2 linked regions of the Oreochromis niloticus genome follow. Each later gene encodes a partner of the first gene's protein in a complex. Links are inferred from orthologs where the notes say so. Each region holds a gene or a part of one and is shown on either strand. Other genes may lie near its edges.

Region 1 (11,050 bases):
ACATGCATACACAACTGATAAATAAGAGGAATGTGTGGTTTTTAACTGGCTTTTCTATCAGTTTTTCATTTAATAAAGTTGCTGATATTTTGTATAAGTTTATTAACATTCAATCAACATTAATTCTACTAACGCAATAACAAACAAAGAAAGTGTTTGTCTAACCTGTATCCTCCTCTGGCTTTTTGGACTCAACAGAAGCAGCTGGAGGAAGAGGGAGTGGTGCATTCTGGGCTTTTGGCTTCAGGGAGGGGAATAACTTTGTCATGAGCTGGGAGGCAGGAGGATGATCAGGCTCCAGATTGACTGAACCGATACCTGTGGCCTTCCCCAGCTCCACACCTTTGCTCACAGCCACCTTCCTCAACAAAGTCTTCTGTGGGGGAGAAATTTCTCTGGCTGTCGGTTTGGAAATCGGACTGAGCTCTTTGCTTTCATCGGCTGTGCCGATGGCAGTGTCCTCCAGGTCGTTCCATGTGTCGTCATCATCAAACACAACTCTCCCCTGCTCGCCGTCTTTGCCCTCTATCAGAGTGGAGTCCTCCCTATTGCTGTGGACACTCTTACTCTCCACATCATCCTCTTCAGCCACATCTGAAGATGAGTCCCTGAAACTATCCTCATCTTCATACGACCGCTTGTCATATGGTGGGTTAATAGGTGCAGGGAAGCAGAGAGAACTTTTGACCACTTTGTCGTCTCCACATTCAGAGCGGCTGCAGGGTGTCGTGTCAGAGATGTCATGTTTGTCCTCTCTCTCAATGTCCTGTGTCTCCTTAATGCTCTCTTTGTTCTCTAGTATATCATTTCTTGTCTTTACAAATGCTTCTGAGTTCAAAGAGTTGCTTGCTAAGCCACCTGTGTTTCCAACACTATTGCACCTCTGAAATACACCTTTAGGAGGTGATTTAATGGGAGTTGAAGAGAGGCGTCGCTGGTGGAGCCCCTTCACAGTCTGCAGCTGTCGTTGTTGATCCATCTGAAGAACCTGCAAGGAATGAGCAGAGTAATAGTTTTCTGGAGAGAGGGGTTATGTCTACATAACACAAGACTAACAGTAAAGTCCTGGAGAAAGGCAACCCAATCTGGTAATTTCTTTAGAAATGCAATAGCAGATTTTGACCACTTGAGGGCAGCAGAAATACTGAATCCCAACAACACAAACAAGGAAACAGATACTACCAACACAAAAAACTGTGTGACAAAAAAAATTGTAACAGTAGGCATCCAAACATTCCAGCATTTGAAGTGTTGAATTAAAGCGTGATGAGTTGGTGAGTGAAATAGAGCACCTTCATGACAAAGGAGGAGTTAGATGAGAAGGACAGCTCTTCAGCCGCTTGCTCCAGCAGCTCAAACTCTCCCAGCTCCATGCTCTCCAGCTGTCGGTCGCACTCCCATCGCTGGAGCTTCTTCTGAAAAGACAACTCGAAGGAATCCTGTATAACTGGGTCTCCTCCTTTAGAAACCCCTCCTGCTTCTGCTAATTCCCCTTTTGAACCACAGCTTTTTTCATTTTCAGCCGCCCCTGCCTGTCCTAACTTCCCGCCCTGTTTGGTTGTAGGACACGGCTGAACATTGAGACAAGGGGCTTTCACGGCCTGAACTGACAGAACTTTCCCCAGCTGATGTTTGGCTGGTCTGCCACCTGGATCAGTTTGGACAGTCTCTGGTCCTGCTGTGTTCTGTCTCTGATGACTACCTAAAACCTTTGTCCGTGCTACTTTAGTCACTGCTCTCATATCGTGGGGTGGTGAACTGAGTCCCTTCAACCGGTTCTCCTTGTTGAGTGTAGCAGTTTTACGCTGGACAGGAAGCCGTGGGGCACTGTTTGCGGCTCCTTTCTGAATATATGTGGGCTCCGAGTTGCTGCGAGAGATTACTCTGGCTTGAGGCGGTGGTGGTCTGGAGTCCTTCTTTACATCTGTTTTTTGGAACATAGCTTTCCGATTATTTGTAAATCTCGAAAGGCCCTCTCCTCGCTTCAAGAAGGCTCTCTTAGGAGGGGCTTGCGCAGCGTTGGCTCCATCTCGACTCTGTTGAAGGAATAGGACAAGATTTGAATTCAATGTAAATTGGAATTTTTTTAGTTTTTCCAGTTAAATAAAGTATTTTATTGCAAAATACAGACAGGCTCCATTTGTGCAGACATTACATTCCTATATCAGGTTGTCACCTGCAGAATGCAAACTCAAATGAATGGTTCATTATTGATACTTTTCAGCACTCGACACATCCTCTGACCTGTTGTTGCTGGGCAGACTTTAGCCTCTGCTCCTCCAGCTTCAGCTGCTCCTCAAGCAGCTCCTCAAATGTCTGCTTTTGACCCCCAATACCTGGCCTTATAGGTCTGGAGAGGAGGCAAACAAAACCATACTCAAACACTGATCTGTCGAGACAGTCTGATGTTAGAACTACATAAATACAAGACTATGTATTATTTACCTGTCGTGAAAGACTTTGTCTTCTGTTCTGCTGTCGTCTTCAGTCCTTGCCACAGCATTATGTTCCATTAACGTGTCATCTTCCTCAGAAAAATGGCTCGCATTGACACTGTGCTCCTCCTCATCTTCTCTGGAGTCCAGTGAGCCTACAGAAACAAAGCGGTTAACCACTGAAAACATGTGAACCGTGTGATGAAAGACAGGGCAAATCCACACTGGCTGTTCTATAGAAAACACAAATACCAAGAAACTGTGGAAATGTCTTACTCTAAACCAGGGATGTCAAACTTGTTTTACATCGTAGGAGACATACAGCCCACTTTGATCTTAAGTAAACTGGAAGAGTGAAACTATATGACAGATATGTCAAATTATAGAAAATGTTTTGGAAATGTATAGCCCAGACTGTCCTGTAGTAATAAAATATCATGTCAAATTTATTCTTTACTGTGGACTACCTGCAAAAAAAAACAAAATGCATTTCTATGGTAGATAGTGTCATTCAATTGTTTATCTATTAGTTACCAACTTTTGTGTAGTATGAATGGACATGGAAGGGGTCTTTATAAATAGGAAGAGCTGTAAAACCTATGAAAATACAGTGAAATGATTCAAATCTAATGTACTCCTTCACATTTCACACATGTGAAGCTGTGCAGTGGGCCGGTTTGGAGTCTTTGGTGGGTCGATTCTGGCCCCTGGGCCTTACATTTGAAACTTACATTTAAAATATTAAATATATCTTACCCCCTTCCTCATCATCACCCTCCTCAGGTGCTTGACCTTTGGGTAGCTGCTCGTGTCTGACAACTAGTGAAAGTTGCTGTTCTGGTTGACGGCCAATCATAGAGCCCCGTGGGACTCCATGGTGGTTTGTATCAGGACTGTAAGAGCACTGTGTGTAACATGACCTGTGGAGCGTGTCCTCAACCCACTCTGGTCCGGACATTTCTGAACTCTCTGTAAGATGGGTTATCATCACTTCAGTTTATGAAACAGGACACATACTTGCACACCACATTCACCCTGAACTCAAAATGATCACTTCGCAGTTGTTCGTGTAATTTCACTCTCTGACCTCCTGTGCAGTGCTGGGATCCATTCAGCGTTCCCAGTAGCTTCTGCTGCTCTTCCTGGAGATGAAGCAGCTCCTCCAGCTGATGAGCTTTTAGCTGCTCCTGCATGTGCTGCTGCCATTTCTTTAACTGCACACACATATTGCATTAAATTCTAATTCGATATGTAGTTTAGCTTAGCTCCCACTATGTTTTTCAGATGGTTTAAGATACATTTAACCTAGATGTTTCTGAGTACCACTAGTTTCAGCTCAGTGTCAATCCACATGCGCTGCACATACTGCCATTTGACATATAGTCTAAGTGTTTAATTGCATCTGTGTCCCAGCCAACATAATTGCCTTAGGGAAAAACTCTATTAATAGCAGAGAAACGTAAAGGAGTGTGTGTGATGGAGGTGCATTAAGTATACAGGAAGCAGTGATGTAATCAACAATGAAGTCCACGCAGGGCCCAAAATTTGCATATATTAGGAAATCTGTGGCATTATAGTGTCCAAATGTTCTTACATTATTAATAAATAAATTATAGGTTCATTTTTTCTGCTTTGTCTCACCCCTGTATCTATAAACCAGTAAAACTAAAGATCCTCCCAGTATCTGTGTCATGTATGTTAGGTATTGAAAGTCCATCTCCTCAGATGCACAGCAGGGCTAGTCACATATGCCAAACATATGTTCTTGGTTTCACTAAGAATTTATTTTCTACTTTTAACAACTTGATTGTCTCAAGTTACAGGAGACAACTGCTTCTGAAAAGCACTGATGTCCATACCTGTTCAAGCTTCATCATAAGGGGCAGATCCTGTGATTTGCTTGCCATCTCGTCCAAAGTGTCCAGCTGTCCATCTGCAATTCTCGTCGGGACAGAGTTTAGACCGTTCACCGGCCTGTCAGACTCAGTCATCTCTCCTCCTGCTGCCCGTCTAAATGCATCCACACCGAGGCAGCTGCTGTCTGTAGAAGCGGGCAACGGGGCAAAGTCGGAAGCGAAGGAATCGTCTGGCAACATGGGCGACGATCCCACGGCAGAGGTGTGCCGCAAGGGTCCAGCCAAATCCGGAGAGGGACTGAGGATCACTCCGGCTCTGGTGCTACTTGGCATCCATCGGGCCAACAAGTCTGCCTGGGAGTACTGAAGGCCAGCTGGAGATGACATGATGGCTGCGATGTCGCAGGCAGGATAGTCTAATCCGGGATCTAAGAGAAAGATTATGGTGACAGGTTAAGGGTTAATCACGCCACGAATAAACACCGTCCAACACCCTATAGCTGACGCCCAGGTCCAATAAAGCTATACATAGGGACGTTATATATAGAAAAGACATTGCCTTTTTAATACGAGATTGGTTTCCGTCCTGGTTGCTACACAGAAGTCAGTTCCAGATATTTGGTTACGAACAATAATCTTAACAATGTCTATTAAAAAAAAAACATAGGAGAGAATGGTGGCATTTATGACATGTGGCTCACGTGGAATGTGGAAGTGCTCTTTTCATTTTCCTCAAATGTCGCTTTATTTAAAAGGCTTGGCTTCCTCGTCGACACTCTCCCGTTATTGGCAGGCTGCGTTTTATTTATTTCATAAAAACTTTTCCCGGATGTTACACTGTAGTGACGACACTACAACATTAACAAGCATCGCAAAACACATCGACATTACCTGTAACTCAGGAGAAAAGCAGGTTTACTGTGATGAAATCGGGCGTTATACAAAGGCAACAAACAAAAAATTCGAAGCCTGCCGCCATATCAAAACAAAGCCCGCGAGACCAAAAAACCCAACGATGAAGTTGTTGTTGCATTGTGGGTAACGTAGTCTTACATCACGCTGGTCCTAACTGTTTTTTAAATGTCTTTTTATTTCATAGAAATTATAAATAATGATTTTTATATACAAAACATACGTTTTTTAAACAGAAAAGTCACTTCTGCATACATGTATTAAAAAAAAAAATTTCTACGGAACAGGTTTACGGAAGTTCTCGGAACTAGCTTATATTATATCCGGTTAAAAGTTAAATATATTTCACAATAACAGTCATCAAGCAAATGCAATTTGGCGTTTGTTGAGTTTATTTTTTTAATATTGTTATGTATTTAATATTTATCGGTATTTAATGTTAATACATCATTATATATTATGTCTTTGTCCATCATAATACAATTTTGCTAAATAACTCGGACCTTGACTTTTATACTGACGTTTGCAGAGCGGATGTGTTATCCGAGAGCTGCGATTGGTCTATACAAAATACAGCCCTTCCCTTCACGTTCTAGTAACTGAACTGAACTAAATGTGTTGATAAAATGGAAAAGGTTGTATGTAGTATACACGGTAAGTGGTAATCGGTCAGTGGTGATTAATTATGTGTTATAAAATGGTAAACTGGATATTGTGTTTGATTTAAAGAGGTTATATTTGTGTTTTTATCCTGAGGACAAAAAAGGTTTGCTGCCCACATAGTTTAATAATTAGTTTAACCTTCGGTTTAAATATTCCGCACTTCGAGTTTTTACGTGTTTCTAAAGAGAGACCTTTTTGTCACAGGCGGCGTGTGTATGTTAAAAACCGGATTAAAAGACGGACCCAATAAAGGCAAGAGCTTCTACGTCTGCGTTGACAAGCAAGGCTGTGATTTTAGTCAGCAAACCAGGTATTCCCCCGATGACAATAGGCCTCTGTATTTTCAGACCTGAACCATTCATTGACACTGTGTTTGAACCAAATAATAGTCTCTTAACTATTCACTGGCCATATCCTTACATTGCTTTTGTTCCATTCATCTCAGTAGCCAACTTTACTATACTCACTGGCCCTCTCCAAACATCTGAGGTTATTCACTGACATATTGTTAAAGTTATTGATAAACAAATGTGTGTGTTGCACAAATATTTGTTTTATTGATGTGAATTATCATATCTCTAGCATTTCACCATCACACTGCCTCCATCATGAAGATTCAATGGTGGAACTCCAGGCTCTCAGCTACAGTCAGCCACAGCAGGGCTATAGGTGTGTGTGTATGTATGTATTAGAAAGAAATCTGAAATTGCATGCTTATACGCAGCTTATATGACTAGATACCAGGTTGGTTAGACTCTGTATTTAACTGCAAATTCCTTCTCGTTTTCCAGGTTGTTCTACCGATGTGCAGTAGGTAAAAAAGCAGGCCAGAGGTGGTGTGGAAATGTACCCTGGACTGCAGTAAGTGCTGTCACAGATTTCCCAACACACACTTGTTTTTTTATATACATTCAGTATCTGTATCACCAACGGTTTCTGGCCATCGCATTGAGACAGTTATTAAAGATAGTTTTTAGTTATTAAAAATGCGGTTAAAGTTTTAAGTTAGTGTTCTCACTACTCCACTAATAATTAAGCTTGTATGAATTAGTCAATTCATTGGTCAGTCACTCAAAACAAAAGTAATCCTTACCTCTTTTGTATTTGTTGTTTTTTGTTGTTTTTTTCTTTAATGCTGTGTAACTGTAAATGTTTTACGGTTTTCCTGGCGTATGCATTGATTAATACATTTATTATGTAAACAATCATAAGTTGCAGCCTTAAATAGGATGTAGCTAAATGGTATGAACAAGTATTTTTCCTATTCTGAACTATTTACTTTTTTTAAACACCACATGAGGGATTAGCTGTTATTAGACACTTTTCTGTAAATTTCTATGACATATTTTTTTAAAGTGTGTTGTCTTCCATGATTGCAGCCGGAAACAGAAAAGAGAAGCCCTCTGTCTGACACACAGCTACAGCCCTCATGTCTTCCACCTGTACGAAACCCCTTTAAGGCACCAAGCCAGGCAGACAAGGACTCTGAGTGGAGAAAGTTGCAGAACAATAGACATGAAGAGAAAGAAGCAAGTCACAAGGCTGAAGGAAGAGCAAGTTATCAGAAAGAAAATGAAAGGCAACAAGGTGCAGGAGTGGAAGAAAAGGCAGATGATAAGCACAGGTCGTCGGATACTTACCGGGGTAAACAACTTCCACTGGGGATGAAGTTAAAAAAGAGAGTTTCAAATGAGGAGAACAACAGTCCCAAAGAAAACAGTGTTGAAAAAAGAACCGAGAAGATTCAAGACACGCCCGAGCAGAACCGCATCAAGCAAGGAGAAGAAGAAAAAGGCATTTCTTCCTCCAGCGTCAAGACTGTTCATTCTGAGTCATCAAACAAACATCAACTCAAAACAATCAATCAAACTGCACCAGTTTCTCACAGGAACTTGACTCAGCAACCATCTGATGCCGAAACCTCTCAGGTGAAAGAAACCAAACAAATACTAGAAAAGAGCAGCTGCACCCATGCATCCAGAGACTCTGACAGCAGCAGGAGCCCCATACCTGACAAACCAACTCAGTCAGAGTCCAGTCAGCCCAACAGTCCCGAAAACAACGACGATGATGATGATGTGGTACTGGTGTCTGTGAAGCCTGCTCCGCAGAAGACTCCTCCTGTTTCTACTGTCCAAAAGACGCTGACCAACTTCCCAGGATTCCAGCCAGCTTCTAACATCAAAAAGCCGGTGGAAAACCCCAAAGGGCTGCAGAACCTGCTCACCGTTCAGCTCCAGCAGAAAAAGGTGAGGGGAAGAGGAGACAACACATGTCATGCATGAGCACTGCATTGATTTAAAACCTAACATACAAATATTATTATAATATTTAAAAAAATATATTATATGCATGTCAAACATGTCCGCATTAAGAAATCTGTTAATTAACCGCCCCGATATACTCATATCAGTCACTCTTAGGCTGCGTTTCCCAAAACACCGAAGAATATTTGTAGTACTTGTAATTATATCATAGTAAATAATCTGCAAGCTCTCAGAATGTACTTTTCTCTTTAAATGTTAAAGTTGACACTGTTAGCTACACTAGCTGACAAAGTAGGCTGAGGTAGCTGTTAAGTACAGTTTAGTTTACAAGTCCAGCAATGTGATTTATCATTGGGCTGATATCTAATTGGCTGGTATTAGCTAACTGCTAACAGCCCATAAATAAAAGTGGGGGGAAAAAAAGACCAGATGGAAGAAACGCCTTTCAACCTTGTTATAAGTTGATCAGGACAGAGCATAAAGTAAACAAGATAATCAATGACCAGGCACAACTAATGTTAGGAAAATCTGTTGAGTTTTTGGAAAAGAATACAATTAAATGGCCAACTGTCAGTATCAGCATTAAAAATCCTGCATCAGTCGGGTTGTATCTTAATCGGTCAGTCAACTAGTACACAGAAAATTGGATTAAGAGTTTGCTGGTCAGTAATCAACATCCAAAATCAAAATTCACTTTACACATTCCAGTACTGTATACATCACAACAACAAATACTACAGAGCAGCTGGTTAGTTTAATACTCAGGCTTATGAGAGCTCTTTGTCTTCACTCTGTCCTCAGGCCACTCTATCTTCGGTAAACTTGGAGGCGCTACCAGATAAAGGAGACAGGTTGAGGACACAGGTTAAAGAGCTGGAGGAAGCCCTGGAGTCACTGAGCCTCACTGCTGCTTCTCAGCCTGGTAGGAGTCACACTGCACAATAGAAATAGATGGTTTATTCAACTGCTTATTAGTTATTCCACTATGTACCCCAGCTATACTCCCAGTTAAGCCCTTATGCATACATGGGCAAAACCTTGAGAGACTTTTTTTTGTTGTTGTTGTCTTAGTAAGTTGCTGTGTAATTTGATGTTCTTTGATATTCTTTCTGTCCCTGAAAAACACACGTGCAGGCGAAAGTGTAATAATAAAACCAACAAGGTTTTTTAGATTTGGCTGGATGTCTGTGTCTCCCTTTCAGAGTCTGAGAAAGCGTGTAGCAGCACTGATTCTGGTTTCAGCACCACTCAGATGAATCCATTCAGCCGGCAGGGTGGGACCATCCTGCTCCCTGCTCCTCCAGCCCCAGCCCTGCACCATCATCAGGCCTCTGGTGGCTCTCTGGGGCTCCAGCTGAGCCAGGGATACTCTCAGATGTATGGAGGTATGCCAAATAGGAAAGAGAAACACTTCTATAAAATGTGTAATCATTTTTTTAAAACTTGAAATTAATATAGATTGCTAATCACTCATCCTTAATGTTTCCAGCATACCCACAGGCACAGACATTTTATGGGGGTAGAATGACCGACGACCGTCTTCTGGCGGTGAAAAATGCCACCTGTGAGGCCATCGACCATCTCCACAAGTCCCTGGAGTCCTGTCCTGATGCCGAGGCTGAGGCCCCTGATCCCAAGGGTATCAAGGTGTTACACACTGCCTCACTCACTACTGTGGCAAAAAAAAAATCCGACAACAACGGCTACGTTTTCACAAAAACTTCAAAAATAAAGGAAACTCATAGCAGCACTCAGATATTCTGACTGATTACACAAGGCTTTAGTTAAACTGCAAGCTTTAGTGCTCAGCTCTGTCAGTCAATGGTTACATTTTGGTTACGTTTTAAGGTGTTGTGATATAGAAGATAGTGGATGAGAGACAACTCCTAGCAGGAGAGGTTGAACTGTTACACAAATAGTTTCACCAAAAAGCATGATCCAAAATTTCAAGATATGAAACCCCACTTTTAAATTCATCTATCAGCACTTTTTACAAGACACTCAGCGCCATCTTTACTCTGATTTGACTGCTCAGACTGAGGCTGTACTGCATAAAAAATACCTGGTGTCTGACTGAGTGCCATTTATTTACTCCTCATTTTAAGGATGGTTTTCTGCTTCTAGTATTGCAGCAACATTTTAAGGTCAGCTTTAGAAATAGAGCATCCAATTTTAGCTCAGAGTTTTACATTATTATGCTCTAAGAAATTGCATCTGAATATAATCTTTATGTGTCCATATATTTTAATTCGTAGAGTATTTCATTTTTGCATCAAAACATTTTCTTTTATTCACAAAACTGTCACAATTTAGAATGATACAGCCTATATTTCCTCTTTTGATTGGACGATGATGTTAGTCTAAGATTGCTGCATTGTGATTGGTTGCTCAGGTGCCTCTCCTGCCCCATCAGAGGAGAGCTTTGGCCTGGTTGCTCTGGAGAGAAACGCAGAGTCCCTGTGGAGGAATACTGGGTGAGTGTTTTTTCATGTGATTTTCTTCCTCTGTTTAAAGTTGGAATTAAGCCCGTGGGGTCTGTTTGTTACATTTAATTTGCTATTCTATGTACAGAAATGGTCTCCTCAGGCCAGTCAGTTTGCTCACATGACAAAGAGAGGAACACCTCGCTTCTTATCATTTCTTCATCTTTTTTCTAGTATATCTCATTTGTATTCTTTTTAATCAGCGGATGACATGGGTCTGGGGAAGACCTTGACAATGATTTCTCTCATACTGGCCATGAAGATGAAGGCAAAAAAGGACAAGGAGGAGATGGAAGAGAAGAAGAAGGATAGCTGGTTATCCAAAACTGGTAACGAGAACCTTTTGTCACTGACTCAGTGGGTCAAATATAATCCAGCTAAATAAAATTACACAGTTCTTCCTTTTTTAGCTATTTCCTTTCCTATTTCCTTTT
Region 2 (10,184 bases), on another chromosome or scaffold:
ATGGCAAAAGGAGTGGGCATAAAGTGCAGCCCTGTCACAGGGCTAAACACTAACCAGTGGATATCCTGGCTCAACAGAGCATTCATTCAGAAAAGCAAGTGATGGAGGTGGACACTGAGGGGCAAAGCGAGACAAAAGGGACCTTTCTGCAAATAATCAGTGCTTAATGGTTAACCTAAGCAAAGTGGCACCTTACTGTGACAAGAGATATTGATAGCAAGGTGGTTTGGTTTTGGAAGTGCTCTGATTGTGATAACAGTGAGAGAAAACAGATGTCAGGTATCAATCACAGGACTGAGATAGATGGAGACAGCGGAGATAGGACAGGATTAGAAAGCATCAAACTGATTATGACCACTGGCGTCATGTAGACAGTGAAAGACTGACGTTAATTCACAGCGATACACCAACATTATATAGTACAGTATTCACTAAAGCCTTTGGCACTCTTTTAAAGGGTTGACTCAATTTGACTATTTTTTTTAAAAACATATTTGATTTTATGTTTTGTTTATGCTATTTGTATATGTACAGCATTTTGTGAACCCTGGTTTATATGTTAAAGTGCTTTATAAATAAAGATGGTATGGTATTATCCCAAAGAACACAGTTCATCTAGTTACACTTTCGTTTTTTTTCATAATAACAACGAGTGTAACTCGTTTTCAAACGTCTCTGTCACAGTCATCTAGATCCACAGACCACAGTAACAGACAGAGATTTAGCTACTGGAAACTTACTCGATGGGTAATAACGTCGTAAAGCAGGTTACCATTTTAATGTCGCACTCAAATATCGACCCCGCTGCTTGATCGTGTTATCCCAGATCAAGCAGCTTTCAGAGTAAAACGAAAAAACACAGACCGGTTTATATTTAGCTGGCTAGCAACATCATGTTGGCCATACAATACTCACTTTAGCCTCCCCTAGCTCATTTCCAGCATTTATCCTCAAACTAACAAGGCAATAACTGAATAACTATTCAGCTAGCTATTCTGGTGAAACCTGAACCACATACATTCAGCGCCGATTAATATAAGTATAGAATAAATGCAATACTCACCACACATGGCTACAGTTCTGCTGCCAGTTACAGCTACTCTGAAGTCGGTAGCTGGGAACGCCTGTCAATAAGCTCCGCCCCCGATGGTTCCTATGAATCATAGCCAACCGCGTTCTTCCATGGCGTCTTCTGATTGGTCAGGAGGTCTGTCGATTCCGGTTGCGCCTACAGACGTACGCACTTCTGACGTGGCATAAGGATGCGATTCGCAGCCGGAACATCCTGCAGATCCTGCTGCTGCAAGAGTCAACATCGGCCCACAATGGAAGGCCTGTGCTTTCTACTGGCCGTGGAAGGAAAATATTGCTAAAAATGCTCAAAAGACAGGAGCCTGTGTATGCTCTGGCAATTTTAGAATTACTGAGGTACAACGTCCCTCAGAAATCCACCAATTCTTTTGAAAATGTTTATATGCAAAATTGCCTTTTATAGTTTTTGGCCTTACATAGTTTAAATGGTCCATATAATTTTAGTGGAAAATACCCACTTTCTATTTTTCCTTCTTCTTTTGGTCGCTCTGCTCATGAGTCACCACCCTGGATTTTCTGCCTTCATCTCACCTTATTGGTACCCTCCTCTTATGCCGCACCAACCCTCTGCATGTCCTCTGAAGTCCTCTTTTCCTCTTGCCTGGGAGCTACATCTTCAACAACCTTTGTTCAATATATACACAATCAGTCCTCTCGTGTTTCAACTGCTCAACTCGAGGTGTCCCCCTGACGTACTCATTTCTAGTCCTGGCCATATTGGTCATTCTCAATGGAAATCTGAGCATCTTCAACTAGGCCACTAGTTGGAACACTTATGTACACAAAGGAGACAAATGGTCACAAAATATTATAACAAACTTTATTTATACACATACAGTATACTGATTTTAAACCTAAAAGGCTGCTTTGCTTGCTTGACAGATGTGGAGTAATAAATAAATTATTTCAGTCAGCTGTTCCTGTGACTGGGCTATTCTTGTTAAATACTGTCACTGTACAGAAAACATCTGGGAAACAACACATATGAGATTACATCTGAATGGATAATGGTGATTGTTTCTTTCACACAGCTGTGCTATCAAACACATTATTTTATTGCAACTATTGCTTGCATTAAAGTCGGCAGCTGGTAGAGACAGGAATGTGTACATATGATTTCAGTGGTTCAGACTTGAGCAGCCTCCTCCTCCTCATCCTTCACCTGGAAGACATACATAAAAGCTCTTTACAGCTCAAGTGCTGAACATGAAATATAAATCAAGATGTCAGGATTAACATCTTAAAAATTAACAGTGTTCTAAAATCAAATGAGAGAAAGACAACAAACCTGTTCCACTGATTCAACCTCAGGTACATAAAATTGTAGCATGTTTTGGATGCCACTCTTCAAAGTCACAATTGAACTGGGGCAACTGGTGCAAGAGCCCTGCAGCTTGAGTTTAACAACGCCATCTTCAAATCCGCGGTATAGAACATCTCCCCCGTCCTCTTGCACAGTTGGCCTGACCGAGTGAGAACATTGACTGGTATTAGGCAAAAAAACAAAAAAAAACAAAAAAAAAACAAAGCACAGGAAGCAACAGGCCCTGAGATCATACTGCATCTTCATGAGTAGTTACCTTATTCGAGTATCTAGTAGTTCTTTAATCATAGCAACTACCTCGTCGTCATCATCTGATGGTGCTGAAAGGAGAAGCAGAGATTGTTGTTCCTCAGCATTCAAAGCAGCTTGTTATTTCTGTCCAAGTCGATGTTTTGATAATGGGCAGGCCACAGCTGTTTGAAAACCATACCTGTATCTGGGCTTGGCTGGCTGTCCTCGTTTACAACAGGAAGCCCGGAGGTAAAAAAGTCCATAATGGTAGCAAACACATCAGGCTTAATTACCTTCCATTCCAAATTTGGGTCGGCCTAAATGAAGAAGGACGAGAAACCAAGCTATTCTTAGTTGTGGTATGCCAAGCTGTGCCAGTACCAATTCTTACAAACTGGACATGGCTTTACCTTCGTTATGGTAATAAAGTCAGGGCCCAGGAACACACTCTTCACTCCATCGATCCTAAACAGCTGCCTGAAGACAATCACTGAGGTTTTATTATGCCACACTTAAAGATAAATTTTACACTTAATACAGGAGGTCGTGCAATGTTTGTAACAAATAAATACACACATATAGACATGCAAATTGTGTTCAGGTACCAGTCACATTTATTAACATAATATTTTAATGGGAATAGAATTAGAAAATAATATTTCTGTTCAAAATTGCTAGGTAGAGGTAAAAGCGTTACACTGAGGATCCGAATCAGCAGCGTGCTGGGCTGTGAGAAGAGAGGTCTACTGTTTCTGTGCATAACAGAGGTTACACCTTTTTTTTTAATATTTGGTAAGAGTAAATGCTGCCTTGGTTACTGCCCTACCAACAAGGCATGTACCGGTAAATCAATCTTGTCATGTGACTAGCAGAAGTCAAACTATTAATCCATTCTTCTTCTGGCTGCTCCTTTTAGTTTTTGCCACAGTGGATCATCTGCCTCCATTTCACTCCATCGTTCTCCACTGTCACACTAATGTCCTCCTACATGACATCTACCAACCTTCTCTGGAGGTCCACCTATTTTCCTCCTGCCTGGAAGCTGTATATTCAAAACCCATTGTCCAGCATATCCACCATCACTTCTCTGCACATGTCCAGACCATCTCAGCCTTGCCTGGCTCTCCAACTTTGTGTTTAAACTGCTCAACCTAAGCTGTCCCTCTGACATGCTCATTCTGATCCTGTCCATCCTGATCACTCTAAATAAAAATCTTAGCATCTTCAACTCTGTCATCTCTGGGTTTTTTTGTTTGTTTTTTTTTGTCAGGGTCACTGTCTCCAAATCATACATCATAGCAGGTCTCACTACTATCTTGTAAAATGTCTCCTTCACTCTTGCTGCTTTTCTTCTGTCACAAATCACCCACTCATCTCCATCCACTCCACCCAGTCAGTTATTCACCTGTCTTGTGCACTGTCCAGCGCACTGACTGCATGTATTTAAACTCATTTACCTACATCTGCTATGCTAAGATGACTGTTTCACATCAGGCATTTCTCTCAGACCAGTAATCTCACATACCTGGCTAGAGGTGAGCAGTGTGCCTCACGAGGGCCGGCAAAATTCATAGTTCCTGTTTCAAGAACTGTCCGGCCAGGCAGGAACTTCATGCTGTTTGGATTTGGTGTATCCTGGGTCTGCACAAACATGGTTCTTCCTGGGCAGAGAAAAAACAAAGAAGAAGAATGCAACATAAATCACCTGTTTTCATTACACGGTGTCCTTATTTTGTGCAGCAACTCTTTACTTTATTGAACTGCAAGGCTAATGTCACATGTCCTACAGGCACCTGCTCAAACAACAGCTGCATCTATTGGGTTCAAGACAATCACTCCAGTATAAACACATTCAATGTTACACATGTGATTATTATGGGAAGCAACAGGAATACAAACCAGGAACAATCCAGATGGGGTTTGAGGGCCATCTGTTCGAAACTCCTGTGGTATGTGAAGGCAAGTGTAATCCAGTGCTCTGAAACCCACTGACAGCAAGACTGAAAAATGCAGCAGATTAAGACATTTAATACAACGCAACTCACACTGATAAATGAATGGTGTTAGAAATCCAAATGTCAAGCACCCGTGTCAGCCCACTTCATCTAATGCCTTCCTCTCTGGAGTGGTAAAGTACTGACTTCAAAACATGAAGGTGTGGTGAGACTAATCCACTAAAATGATTTGGTGCACAGTGTTTGTACAACTAATAATTTGTAGCCGAGGTATTACAAACTGTTGCATAAGGCAACATGTAAAACAAACCAAAGGGGTCATGCAGAGCTTAAAGCGTTACACTGTGCAGTCAGTATTTGTCTTACTTTAGCCAAGAAGAAATCATTTCACTGACAACTAAACATGTTTTTTTTCTTTATAAGACATTTGATTTACAAAATAGAAAACACAGACAAACATAGTACAATTACAGGGAAAAATGGCACAGTATATGATATGCAAGGAAAGTGGACAATAGCAGAAATCTGCCCGTTACTTTTATTTGGTGTTTGATGTGCCAGAACCTGCTGTTCTGCTGGGATTTTCCTAAACAACCATATTTAATGTTTAAAGAGAATTGTCAGAAAGAGAGAAAATATCTGGTGAACAATGGTTCTCTGGGGTAAAGCACACTGTTAAGGTCAGAGGTCAAATGAGAATGAACCTGAGCTGATACAAAGTCAAACGCAAATAACAACTTATTACAACAGAAGAGCTTATCCAAATGCAAGACACATTGAAGCTTGAAACAGATGGGCTACAGCAGCAGAAGACCACACTGGGTGGCACTCCTGTCTGCTAAGAACAGGAAACAAGATACTATTTACACTACCTGGTCTCATGAATTTCAATTTCTTTTTTTAAACAATGTCTTTTTATTAAGAGTTTTTCTTTGTACATATAAACAAAAAGAAAAGGATTACAGTTGATCTGTACATTCGGGATGAATTTCAATTTCTGCTGCGATATTTGGATAGTACGGTCGGATTTGTCATGGCTCCATCCTGCCTTGTATCAATGGTTTAGCCTTCAGGTAGTGTAGCAATCGTGCAAATTTTTTTCTTAGTATACTTTGAGCCCCTTATTTCCATCTGAGGATAAATTGGGAATAAGTGGAATGACATGCTGCTGACCATGTCCATCCCTTTGTGACCACAGTTAGCCTGTTATAAAGGCTTGCTTCTTTAACCCTTTATTTACAAGTGCTCTTTAAATGACAGTAACTATTTCCATTTTTGCTAAAGACATAATTCAAATGGTTCCAGAAGAAAGAGAAAACGGGCTTAATGGGATACTTAATTTATCATGGTAGGACAGGAAATTCACAAGGTAAAAAACAAACAAACAAACAAACAAACAAACAAACAAACAAACAAACGGCCTAAATTTTACCATGTGAACTTCACATTGCCTTAACTCCTCAACCATTTTGGTCATGTCATGAAGAATTGAGGCAGTTCTTAAGGCAAAGGGGGTCAAACCCAGTACTAGAAAGACGTATGTAATGACATGTCTGAGTGTATAAGACCGTAGAAACACCAGCAGAAACAGAGTAATTGTGAGACATTGTCTCTTATGGACAGTTATTTTAGTTTTGCCTTTTGTAATTAATTGTTATTTATATTTCATTTTGATGTTTTAATTCAGTTTAGTTTGAGTTAGTTTACAAAGTGAGTTTCCTCGTTTCACTTCTTTTTTGAAAATGTTTAGTTTTAGTTTAACTTGTGTCTTAGTTTTAGATTGTTTTTTTTTAATCACTTATTGAATTAAGGGCATGTGTTGGAGGCAAGATTTAGTAAAACCAGCACAGTTATAAACTTCCTAGGTCTAAATAAATATATCTATCAAAACCTGATAAGGCAGCATTAACAATTAAAAACAAAACAAACAAAAAAAACAACAACAAAAAAAACAAAACAAGCTAAGCGATACTAAAACATGTAATACTTTTGTTTAACTATAATAACTTATGGATATGAACTGTCGACAGTAACGGTGTCGCTGTGTACACCTCAGGATAATTCAGAAAAAGCAGATTAGAATCGGGCTAAAGTTTTAGCACTTATGCAACAAAACCAAAAACATTTTTTAAAGTTTGAAAAGGTTTGTCGTGGTTGATACTGACCACTTTAAAGTGTTAATAAGCGGCTGGTGGAGACGCTTAACGCAGTAAAACATCCCCACACCTCCCTGCTCTGTAGCTGACTGTCTGCGTCACTCCGCCGTTTAGCCAGCGTGCTACCATTAGCCTGACCCTGATGCTTAACATGCTGACGCATTCATGCACACATGATATAAAGCAAAAACAGAAAACAATGCAGATAAAGATAAATACAAAACCACTTACGGACGAGAAAGTCTTCCTGAAATACCCAACAATCTGCCGACCTGCCTGTAAGTCGCCATGTTTGTTATGGTTATCTAAACAGGACGGAAGTGGCGCGGTAAATAAGGGGACGTGACGCACTATTATTGTACATTTGTTAAATCGTCCCCCCTCTTATCCCAGCAGTAGCTACACTCAAGTGCAGCTTCTAGAAAAGTCTGAAATAATTTTGTGTAGTATCTGAAAAAAAATGCCGTGTGGCAAAAATTTTAGAAGGAGAAAGGACTCGTCCGATGTGGAGGAGGATGAGACCACCGAAGAAGTCAGGTAGAGCCGTCTGTTTAACCACAGGAATAAAAAAAAAGCCGTTTAGAGTAATGCTATGCATGCTAATGCTAATCGCTAAACGCAGATAGTTTGTTGTCGCATTTTATATAAGCTGCCCAGGTAATGTGTTTGCAATCGTTTGTGTTTCATGGATGTTTAGGCATAAGTTAGAAGAGGCTAAAGAGCTACAAAGTCTGCGCAAACGACAGAGCGGAATCAGGTAACGTAAATAAATCAAACTACGAACACGTTTCATCCTGTTACTTTACATGAAGTTTTACACAGTCAGATACCGAATCACAGTTTTTTATATTTCTTTTATTTAGTGTGACCGCCTTGTTGGTTGGAGAAAAACTTCCACCAGAGGCTGAAATTGAGGTAGGTAGTCAGTTTTGTAAAATTTATATTTTTTTAAAATTGTAATATAGCTTCATTAACCAAGGTGTTTTGGTTTTTGAACTTACGTTTATTAAAATTATTTTGATTATTCCTCACAGAATGACCCATTTAAACTGAAGACTGGGGGAATTGTTGACATGAAGAAAGTGAAAGACAGGAATAGAGACATGTAAGTGAGTTTTTAACTATTTTTAGCATAATTGCTCTACGCTGTGCATTGATATGTCATCATTTCATGTTATGTATTCAGGACAGAAGATGAGACAGACCTCAACCTGGGGACGTCTTTTTCAGCCGAGACAAACAGAAGAGACGAGGATGCGGATATGTATGTGTGCTTTTTTTCTTTTTTGTTGTCCCATCCCCTTACTCATATTATGTATAAAGACACGCTTTCACCCTCTTCCACTTTGGTAACAAGAATGTAATGACTTAAGTAAAAGAAATGGGTTCAACCCAACATGTAAGTCTATCATAAAAGCAGACTTTTTTTTCCTGACACTGACATGTAAAAATCTAATGTAGCTGAAATTATTTTATTTTATTTTTTTTAAATTGACAGCATTTTGTGTTGGTCAAATAGTTCCAGTTATAAGGGGGATTTGATTCTGATTCTTTTCCCTCCACTTTAGTTAGATATAGCACAGATTACATAGAAGAGACATTTCAAATCCCCAGCATTTAGGACAGAATTCGAGATACCCTCACACTTGTTTACAACATGGTTTTATCATAAATTTATCCTCACAGGATGAAATATATTGAGACGGAACTAAAAAAGAAGAAGGGCCTGGTGGAGGCTGAGGAGCAGAAAGTTAAGGTGAAGAATCCAGAGGACCACCTGTATGAGCTGCCCGAGAACATCCGAGTCAATTCTGCCAAGAAGACAGAGGAGATGTTGTCTAATCAGATGCTGAGTGGCATCCCTGAAGTTGATCTTGGCATTGAGTATGTACTGAGAATATTCTAGTAATCATCTACACTTATTTTAGAATCAGCAAGAGGAGTCTTTTGACTAAAACTGCATTTTTGCATGAGATATGGCATGAACGAATACTGCTTTTTATTAATAGCTTTACTAATAAAACTTGTGTATGTAATTTCTTTTCTAGTGCAAAGATAAAGAACATCATCCAGACAGAGGATGCAAAAGCAAAACTTTTGGCAGAACAAAGAAACAAGAAAAAAGACCACGGCACATCATTTGTACCCACGAATATCGCTGTTAACTACGTCCAACACAATCGATGTAAGTAATCTGAAGAGAGCGAGATATTCCACACCTAAATTAAAGCAGATAATACTAAACAAACTGACTTTTTCTTTCAGTCTATCATGAGGATGCAAATGCACCGCAGAGACACCATAGACACAAAGAAGAACCCAAAGCAAGACCGCTGCGTGTGGGCGACACAGAGAAACCAGGTCCAGAGGGTAAGAGACTCTACAGATACGCTCACTGCTCAGTACATAGTAATAGTTTACAGCTGGATAAACAAAAGAAAATGGGTGGGTGGAATTACCTCGGCGAGCGGGCAGTATGGACACTCGGCTTTGTGAACATGATAACTTGAGAATGAAGCAATGTTGGATTTTCAAATTGATACCATAGGTGCATCTACTATAACTCTTGGATGAGTTCAAATATTGGTGACCCTGACTTTGAGATCAAAGTCAGAGGTCAAGTTTTCTGAAAATTATCTTAGGAATTTGGAGATTTTATCATCTCCAGTACATAATGACAATAATTTCACAGAATCAAGAGAAATCTCTGCACACGAAGGGAGAAGGCTGTGACCTTCAGACCCTCATGACACAATAAATTAAAAACAGGCATGAATCTGTAGTGGAAATGACTGCATGGACTAAAACACTTCAAAAACATTGCCAACTCAAAATTTAATAAAGTCTAAGTTGAAGTGGAAAACTGTCCTGTGGGCCAGACCTGTCAGAATGTGAAACTGTTGTTTTAAGTCACTGACACTTGTGCATTTCCAAAAATAATATTTCTCAGTTTCAGGATTTTCTTCGTTTTATCCAAGCTAGATAGAAACTGTATTGCAGTCACTGCAGTTAATTTACTTTCAATGGCTTCCCCATTTACTTGTGTGTCTGTGTGGGGATTTATTCAAAATCTTTTGAAACCTTTAATCTGATTTCGAACTTATTTGTTCATCCACAGCTCCGTCACCACCAAACTACCGCAAACGTCCAAACAATGAGAAGGCTACAGATGACTACCACTATGAGAAGTTCAAGAAGATGAATCGGCGATATTGATGAGATGGATATATATAAACATTTTAAACTCAAGATTCATTTGAGGACCCCAAACGGCTTTTAATGGCATAGCTCTAACATCAGGGCAACACTGTGTAATTATTGTATATAGCTCCTGCTGTTTGTCTGTATACAATACAGTTGTTAATGTCTCAGATGATTTCTTTTGCTCAAGATTGTCTTAAGTTTAGACAGGAATACGCTAAGGAT

Evidence for each region. The genes of interacting proteins can lie anywhere in the genome.
Region 2: ttf2 (region 1) and lg12h9orf78 share a complex: the UniProt entries of both Homo sapiens proteins name them as parts of the spliceosome. The link is inferred for Oreochromis niloticus from reciprocal best matches to the Homo sapiens genes TTF2 and C9orf78.

The regions. Positions count from the first base shown.
Region 1 is NC_031987.2:27,397,490-27,408,539, forward strand, and holds the start of ttf2 (transcription termination factor 2), read left to right. Parts: upstream 1-5,729; 5' UTR 5,730-5,829; coding exon 5,830-5,857; intron 5,858-6,070; coding exon 6,071-6,176; intron 6,177-6,448; coding exon 6,449-6,547; intron 6,548-6,657; coding exon 6,658-6,727; intron 6,728-7,245; coding exon 7,246-8,115; intron 8,116-8,934; coding exon 8,935-9,055; intron 9,056-9,335; coding exon 9,336-9,518; intron 9,519-9,622; coding exon 9,623-9,780; intron 9,781-10,525; coding exon 10,526-10,607; intron 10,608-10,819; coding exon 10,820-10,945; intron 10,946-11,050. Other genes in the region: cpap (centromere protein J), read right to left, coding at 166-988, 1,293-2,036, 2,245-2,350, 2,446-2,590, 3,192-3,404, 3,523-3,649, 4,295-4,678. UniProt on the Homo sapiens protein: DsDNA-dependent ATPase which acts as a transcription termination factor by coupling ATP hydrolysis with removal of RNA polymerase II from the DNA template. May contribute to mitotic transcription repression. May also be involved in pre-mRNA splicing.
Region 2 is NC_031977.2:13,550,439-13,560,622, reverse strand, and holds the start of lg12h9orf78 (splicing factor C9orf78 homolog), read left to right. Parts: upstream 1-7,139; 5' UTR 7,140-7,218; coding exon 7,219-7,295; intron 7,296-7,455; coding exon 7,456-7,515; intron 7,516-7,621; coding exon 7,622-7,673; intron 7,674-7,792; coding exon 7,793-7,863; intron 7,864-7,944; coding exon 7,945-8,022; intron 8,023-8,444; coding exon 8,445-8,642; intron 8,643-8,806; coding exon 8,807-8,943; intron 8,944-9,023; coding exon 9,024-9,128; intron 9,129-9,876; coding exon 9,877-9,974; 3' UTR 9,975-10,184. Other genes in the region: gfpt1 (glutamine--fructose-6-phosphate aminotransferase [isomerizing] 1), read right to left, coding at 1,064-1,070; NFU1 iron-sulfur cluster scaffold homolog, mitochondrial, read right to left, coding at 2,219-2,254, 2,381-2,555, 2,673-2,736, 2,847-2,964, 3,058-3,124, 4,173-4,308, 4,547-4,647, 6,990-7,048. UniProt on the Homo sapiens protein: Plays a role in pre-mRNA splicing by promoting usage of the upstream 3'-splice site at alternative NAGNAG splice sites; these are sites featuring alternative acceptor motifs separated by only a few nucleotides. May also modulate exon inclusion events.